Nothobranchius furzeri: one gene and its partner. The protein of the gene in region 1 purifies or fractionates together with the protein of each later gene. This does not show direct contact. Links are inferred from orthologs where the notes say so. Each region holds a gene or a part of one and is shown on either strand. Other genes may lie near its edges.

What was found.
Region 2: the proteins of c1qbp (region 1) and prkcz purify together in Homo sapiens (affinity purification with mass spectrometry; 5 studies listed by BioGRID and IntAct, with this or other methods). This does not show direct contact. The link is inferred for Nothobranchius furzeri from reciprocal best matches to the Homo sapiens genes C1QBP and PRKCZ.

What each region holds. Positions count from the first base shown.
Region 1 is NC_091750.1:66,120,950-66,125,124, forward strand, and holds c1qbp (complement component 1 Q subcomponent-binding protein, mitochondrial), read right to left. Parts: upstream 2,609-4,175; 5' UTR 2,455-2,608; coding exon 2,214-2,454; intron 1,958-2,213; coding exon 1,807-1,957; intron 1,736-1,806; coding exon 1,639-1,735; intron 1,537-1,638; coding exon 1,441-1,536; intron 1,352-1,440; coding exon 1,226-1,351; intron 1,155-1,225; coding exon 1,005-1,154; 3' UTR 625-1,004; downstream 1-624.
Region 2 is NC_091755.1:44,952,085-44,955,897, reverse strand, and holds part of prkcz (protein kinase C zeta type), read right to left. Parts: coding exon 3,761-3,813; intron 3,437-3,760; coding exon 3,349-3,436; intron 3,269-3,348; coding exon 3,149-3,268; intron 178-3,148; coding exon 98-177; intron 1-97. UniProt on the Homo sapiens protein: Calcium- and diacylglycerol-independent serine/threonine-protein kinase that functions in phosphatidylinositol 3-kinase (PI3K) pathway and mitogen-activated protein (MAP) kinase cascade, and is involved in NF-kappa-B activation, mitogenic signaling, cell proliferation, cell polarity, inflammatory response and maintenance of long-term potentiation (LTP).

The DNA of each region.
Region 1 (4,175 bases):
CAGTCACTACCCAGAGCTGATTACAGCTGCAATCAATTCTCTCCTAAATTCATAAAACTATTGTGCATATATGAATGCTTGAACAGGGGTGAAGATTAATTCTGAAGCCACTTGAGCAGGACCATAAGGCTAAAAACAAAGAGAAACAGGATTCCTTCAGCTGTCAAGATTACCAGAAAGGTCCAACTGTCCAAACCCGACACTCAGGAAACTGACAAATGTCCCGCAGCTACCTGCCTAGAGATGCAACAGATAAGAGGCCAGAAGAAAACCGAAACAGCTGCAGAAAAGTTCCTGCAAAAAAAATAGCTTGTGAAACACTCCCGACCCCACTCACACCTCCGGGTGGTGCGACTGGATCCATGAATATACCTCTGCTAGCAGCTGTGTTTTGCTAGAACAGTGGCTTCCAATAATGTTCCTTGTTTGAGAGGTTTCTGTGCATCTACACACCTCAGATTAGTCAATAGCTGATTAACAGGCATCTGCAGAACCTGCTATCAGCTGTTGAATCAGTTGTGTTGAAGCAGGAAAACATGCTGGATAGTGGATTGGACACCCCTGTGCTAAAAGGTAACTGTAACTCTAAATGGTACCGGTGGCCACAGAAAAATTACATTTGAATTCTGGTATCAAACGGTTTTATTGGACAAACTTTCCATCTCTCCAACAAACATCACCTCACTCATTCGACAAAACCGCATCAGTCAGCAAAAACTCAGTTGCTCAGATCCGTCATAAATAAACAATTAAAAACGGAAAGAAAAACAGGTTAGTTGGCGTTTTCAGAAATCCTGACTTTTACGGATGAGCCAGGCAGTAAAACCCAGACTTCTGTAACTGGCAGTAGGTTCTCTCTCAAGTTACAGCCACACTTTACAGAAAAACTTAAACCTTTACTGACTAAGAGTAGTGTGGCAGCTGCTGGCGACCATCTAATCAGTCACTGAGCACTTTACCCTACAGCCTCCATCTTTATTAGGTAGAAACTATTACATTTGACATTAATTACATTTCACAAAGCCCTGGAGATCCTCCAGGAACTTGATGTACTCTTGATGCTCAATGGCGGTGCTCAGCTCCATCAGCTCATCGGCGAAGGTGTTGTCAACCCCGCGGTCAGCCAAGAAATCCATCAGGTGGTCATAAAGCGCCTGGAATAAACGGACTATGAGAGTAGCGTCCTGCAGCCTCATTAACTTTCTGAACCAGTCTCAGCTCTTACCCAGTCCAGGGAGTCTGTGTTGAGTGTGTAACTGGTCTCCTTCCAGTCCACATCCCCCTCTGGTTGGAAACTGACCTCCCGGATTGCAAAGATGTCGCTCTCCTCCTCCCCCTCGGCATTACTTACCTACAACACACAAATCCAGCAGGTTTCATTTAACTGAGACAGAACCGGCTCCTCACTATTTAGCATGTGCTTGTGTATGTTTGTTTTACCTCATCTTCAGGAAAATGACAGTCAAACACAAGGGAATGTTTAGCAGCTTGTTTTGTCACTTCAACAACAAAGTTGGGTGTTGACACAATCTCTGGCTACAAAGAAGGACAAAAATGATACAATTATAGAATTATAAAGTGTTAAAATCATTTTTTCTTTCCACGACCAATCAGGTCATAGATTGATGATGGGCTTACTTCCTCCTCTGCCGATTTCTGTGACTGCCCCTGCTCCACTGCCTCCTCCTCAAAGTTAGGAGGAATGCTGTTGTTGACATTGAACGTGACGGTGATTCTGAAATCAGACCACACCGTGAGCCCACACTGAGCACCACTTCCTCTCAGAACAAATCGTAGCATCCTTACTTGTCTCCAGAAGCATGCTTTGTGAGTTTCACCTCTGTTCCATTCATCCCCACCTCCCATCCTCCAGTCATTTTAGGTAGACTTTTGTTTTTCTGGATTACCTTCTCTTCTTTGATCTCATCAGACAGGAAGTCACCAAATGCTTTATCGCCTGAATAAAGTGAGGGCAAAAATGATAGATCTGTCTGAATTAGCATCAACACCTTTAAAACTCCTTTCAGAAAGACTAAATATGAAATGCTGCGTATAAAGTTCACTTAACTCGCTTAAGTAAGACAAGTGTGTGTACTTGAGTGTTTACATGTGTATTTAAAACCTAGAACTTCATGTTTAATTACGTTGTAAATCTCCTAGCTTGAGGCTAACAAGCTAGCTGATTAAGACGTTACTTTAAAACGTGACCTTACCTTCTGTGTGCAGTCCTTCACATCCACACGACACAGAAGGACCCAACACCTTTGAGCTGAACAGTTTGGGTCTGTAGCCTGATGACGCTCCGTTATTATTCAGCATCCACAGGGAGCGGGTGAACGGCCGAATTGTAGCCGAGCTGGGAGCGCACAGAGTCGGGCAGTTGATTGGTAAGGCCCGCGAGACTGAGGACAAGCGAGCAGCGGCTCCCGCTACGCGGACAAACGACTTCAGCATAGCGGTGTGCTTATTAAAACGCTGTGTGAGAACAAAATAATTTAATCTAACGCCCCTGAAAGCCCCCTTAGCCACGCAGGTTACGGCTGCTTCTTCTGGAAGATACAGGAAGCACGTGGGGAAGGACACAGCGACCTCGCGTCACTGCGACCTCTGAACCGGAAGCAATGTTTTTTAAAGCGATGGTGACATATTACATCAGTCAAATGAAGCACATAATGTACAAATGATAAAAAAAAACACATCTAAAATATATTAACTAATCATCAATTCCTTATTTGAATACTGCCCTTTGTGCCCAAGCGGAAGATTTTAAATGGACATATGCATTTTGGTTTAACAAGCCTAAAAAAAGTCCCAGTTTGTGATGACACAAACAGGGAATTGGGGCAAGGTGGAAGAGGACTTAAGTGTCTGCCTCATAATTGGAAGGTTACAGGTTCAAACCCCGCTCAGCTGGTGTCGGTCATGTTGTGTCCGTGTCACATTACCTGCTGGGGGTGGTCAGAGTGACGCCTGTGAACTTCAGCCTTGCCCAGGGCAGCTGCAAGGCTGTTTCTCCCCGTTCGCTGACTGTGAGAGCGGGGAGGTTGCGCTGACTCCCAGGTGCAAGGGAGATGTACTACCAATGGAGCAGCAGCAACTCTACCTGAAACCCCCATGGAGCAGCAGCAACTCTACCTGAAACCCCCCTGAATATGAGGGCACCTCAGGTTATATTAGCCTGAGTAGGATGGATGTTTTCTTAAAGTGAGGCTTGAAACAACTCACTGTCGAAATAAAAAAGCTGAAATCACTTCATGTCAGAAGAATTTTGTGCAAAGAACTTTATAAAGATGTTTGTATGGACAATGGAACTACGATAACCATCTTCTTTAAAGGGACAGTTCACCTTTTTTCAAGCGGAGGTCTGTGGAGGTGTTGTGAACAATTAATATCTGAGCTGCTGTTGATGGCAATTGGGCTGACCTCAATTTAGAGGTTGTGTTCAAATTGGAACTAAGCTGTTAGCGACCTCTTGACCCCTGTACTGAGACACTGTGTTTACACACGCCTGTATTCTCCATACCAGTAAACTCAGGTTTGATTACCAGCTGGCTGATACTTCCTTTTCCACACAAAACTTTTCGTTTTGCTTTTAATACCTGGTAAATATCTGGCCTTTTCAGCTTTGTTATGATGCATTAAAATCTAAAAATGTAAGAGGGTGGACTTTATGTCACGAGTCTGTGACAAAACTTTAAAGTTTCTATCTGGAAACAAAGCTTTCAGGCATTATAGAAACACGTCGTAAACAAACAAAAATGATAATCACCTTGTTGAAACATTTCTTTCATTAACTGGTTTACTTCAACAGTTGGAATACTTTTATTAGAAATTATAATAGTTTATATGAAAACCTGTTCTACTCTAATTAAGCTCATTTAATGTTTGCCTTTATTCTACAAACTACATGCAGGTAGGTAAAGTAGGTTTTCATTTGACTTACAAACAAGTAAAATGCAAGTGGATCTCAGAGAGATTCCATCAATTATAAATGCAAACATTTTTGGTTCTAAGCAGGAAACTGAAACGCACGTGGTGCCTCTTCAAAGATATAAACTATTTATGTGACAACATGTTGAAATTAGAGTATATGTTGTACAATCCTGAGTGCAGAGTAAAAAAGAAAAGAGGATCCCTTCATCAACATGATGTGACCTTCTAGAGCAGGGATTCCC
Region 2 (3,813 bases), on another chromosome or scaffold:
CCTCACAAACAGAGGAAGTCGGTTTTGGGAAGAACGCCGGGACTCGGCGGGTCTCAGACGGATGAAAGGCGGCCTGATGCGAGCGGACGGCTCTCACCTTGTTTAGGAAGCCCTTGAGCACGCCGGCAGCTTTCACCGACAGGGACCTCGGGATGCGAATGGGCTTCTCGAGAATAACTGTTGGCAAAAAGAAGGACAGCGGGAAGAGGAGAGACAATGAAAGGGCAGTTGTCAGTAAGGAGGTGGATGATTCAGCGGCCAGGCGGCCTGTAGGTGACCATGTCTGCTGCGTGGGAGTCAGATCCTCCTCCTCCTCCTCCTCCTCCTCCTCCTCCTCCTCCTCCTCCTCCTCCTCCTCCTCCTCCTCCTCCTCCTCCTCCTCCTCCTCCTCCTCCTCCTCCTCCTCCTCCTCCTCCTCCTCCTCCTCCTCCTCCTCCTCCTCCTCCTCCTCCTCCTCCTCCCAGCTCCAACAACAACCAGCCTCGAGATTCACAGAGAGGAGAACAGAAATACGCTAAAATACTGAAGGACGAGAACAGCTCCACATCAAAGTTTTTAATAAAAAGAAAATCAGTTCCAGCTGGAGGTCATGTGACCGGCGCGTTTTCATCCTCAGGTTTCAGATTCACGGCTACACTGTAAAAACACCACTCACAAGGACTTTCACTGACTTTTCCACTTTGATACAACATGGGTTCTGTCTCTGATACCACGCACCCCCAACAGAACCGGCCCAGTACCAGGTGACATATGGTGGCGGCTCATACGTGTGGGGGTCGGGTTCTGCTGGCAGACGTTGACTCAGGAACCCGCTGACGGAGCGGTGAGACCATCAGGTGGACAGAGTCGTGGCAGATCCTCGCCGTGGCGCTCACAGCTGAGAGGATCTGCGTCAGTCTGAAGCACGGAGGAATTTCTGCTGGGGTGGACCGTGTTTGGACGGGTGGAGGTGACCCGGGGGGAGACCATATGGCTGCAATAAAGCATAAATAGAGATCTCTGCTTCCTGAAGGAGGGGCCTACAGTCGAGGTGGAGTTTTCTTTCATTACATCCCATAATAAGTCTCTGAGTGGACCCAGTTCAGGCTCTGGCGGACAAACTAAATAAAACACACAGCAGGAAGTTTTTATTAAAGGCACACTTAGCCTCTCTGCTTGCTTTTAGCACCCCCTAGTGTCCACGACTACTTCTCTGAGGTCCTCGCTGTGCTTTCATCTCTTTTACACCTTCATCTCAGTTTGGCCCGCTGGCCCGTGTTGCCGCAGAGACTACAAATCCCATGGGGCTTTGCGGCATTAGCGTGTCAGTCGAAGCGCTCCCTCCTTTCAGCGTCTGCAGCCATACCCTCCTCATTCTCACACGGAAAACACTCAGAGTTTACTCAGCGATAGACCGAGTGGACCGTCCGCGGCCGACATGAAAAGCTCACCAACCAACTTCCAGTTTAGCGACGCACTCCAGTCAGCGTGACCCCGTCGCTGCTGCAGCTGTCATCTCTCCTCCCCGACACACCGACCCAACTCCGGCCGTAGCTGCTCACATTCTCCATGTTCAGCAGCACATCTGTCTATGTGAGCACCTGTTGTCTGTGATGAAGATGAACAGAACAACCCCGGAGCCTCAGCTCGGAGCCCACAGGTGCAGGTGTGTTAGGGTTAGGGTTAACTCTAACCCTGGAACAGGTGAGCTCCACAGTAAATCACTGGGCTTGAATATTGTGGCTTCAGGCACTTTTCCTGCTCTAAAGCAGGTGAGATGATTTCCTGTAGGAGAATTGTTTTTGTTTTCCTGTAAAATAAGGTTAGACCTGCTCTAAAATGGACCTGAACAGGCTGCAGATGGAATAAAACAGAAAATGCCTTTATTGTCCCTCAGCAGGAAGGGTTGGTGCGACAGCAGCAATAACGATCTTCACAGGAGCAGAAAAGGAGAGTAAACAATAAGAATAACAAGTAAACAACAGAGAAACATCAGCGATTCAAAAGGTTCATTCAACGATGCTGAATTCACACATTTCAGGAATAAAAGAGTAAAAATGGAGACATGATGTGTTGATTTAAAATGTACTTGCTCGTGTGTAATTTAGTTATTCAGTGTTGATGAAAGGTGGAAAGGTTCACCCACAAATACCTGTAAGAAAAAGGAAAATGGCCGCATTTGCCGTCACTTTAAATAAATACGGAGTTCAGCCCACGACGTCGTCCCGGCCTGGTTTAAGCGCTGAAACGTCTCCCAGCCTTCCTCAGTGTCTACAGGATTGACTCGTCACTAAACCCAACCAATCAGCTGTGTTCATGCGACTTCCTGGCCACAGAGGGCAGCAGGGTCTGGCCACTTCATTAACTCTGTAAAGGCTCATTTTAGCGCACCTGCTCAAGAAAATCTTATAAAAATATGAAAAAGTCGCAGAGAATCCCTTTAACACTAACGAAGTCCGCGCTGCAGCGCCCCCGTTCTGATTGGCTGATGCTTACATTTTAAATGGATTTTAGGAAGTTTATTCAGTCATTTATCTACTGTTAGCAAACCACCTGCATGAGACGTCAGAGTGGGCGGAGTCTCTAGAAACAGGAAGTAAACCTCTGAATCAGGGGTGGGTGTGTCCAAACCTAGGGGCTGCACCCTTCCAAGGATGCGTTGTACGGCCGATTATGTCCCAGTGAAGAGAGGAAGTCGTCCAAAGTTGAAGAAAACTCCAAATGCGTCTTTTAAAGGACCGGTCTGGTGTCCCCCCCCCCCCCGTTCAGATTAAGCCCGGGAGGACTAACGCCTTAAACGTTGGTGTACTTAAACCTGGTGGGAGAAACTAAAAGCTTGTGTTGTTAGGATTTTAGTGTACATAAAGAAATCCTCGTAGATGAGCCTCTGACTGGTATTTCCCGTTTAGTGACTTATGGTTGCTAGGCAACAGGACATGCGCTGAAATAGGGCGGCAATAAATATGATGACTCAACCATATTACTTCACAGCCGCTCACTCCCGGGCTGGGCGGTCGAGGAAGGGCCTGTCCTACCCGGTCCATGCAAGACGGGTCCTCACAAGGACACTGTCCTCGACTTCGTTGCTTCAGTCACTTCCTGTTTCTAGAGAACCCGCCCACTTTGAGGCATGTGGACAGACAGCAGCAGGTGAGTCCTGGTCTCTCACCTTGAAAGAGGTACTCTTCTGTGTTCATGTCGGGATTGTCTGTGATGATGTCAAACGGGGACCTTCCAGCCATCATCTCAAACATCAGAACACCCAGAGCCCACCAGTCCACACTGAAACCTGAGAGGTCAAAGGTCAGATGGTAAGAAAACCTTTCATAACCAGAAACTACGGTAACCATGAAGCCAACTTCTGCTGACCGTAGTCCTCTCCTCGGAGAATCTCAGGAGCGATGTAGTTGGGAGTCCCGCAGAAAGTACTGGTGGTGTCGCCGGGTCTGATCCCCTCCTGGAAGACGGAAGAGATGAGATGTGAGCGAGAACATCAACACAGGACAAGTCCTGAGGTGGTGCTGTGAGGCAGGAGATCTCTGTGGGAAGGTCTTCTTCTAGAGGGTCATTAAAGGACACCTTCCTTTATACCTCCAGAACTTAACGGTGCTACCTTCTGATCATGTGATCTGCTCGCAGCACCAGAGGGGTCTCTGAGCATAGCCCAGCTGCCAGCGGTGGCTTTAGTTCCTCTCTTAGTGATTATTTATGACTTGACTCGCTGATTAACAGAACCTTTGATGCGATTTCTGAAGGCTCTGATTCGCTGTCGTCTCCGTACCTTGCACATGCCGTAGTCTGTGAGTTTGACGTGTCCCTCGTGGTCCAACAGGA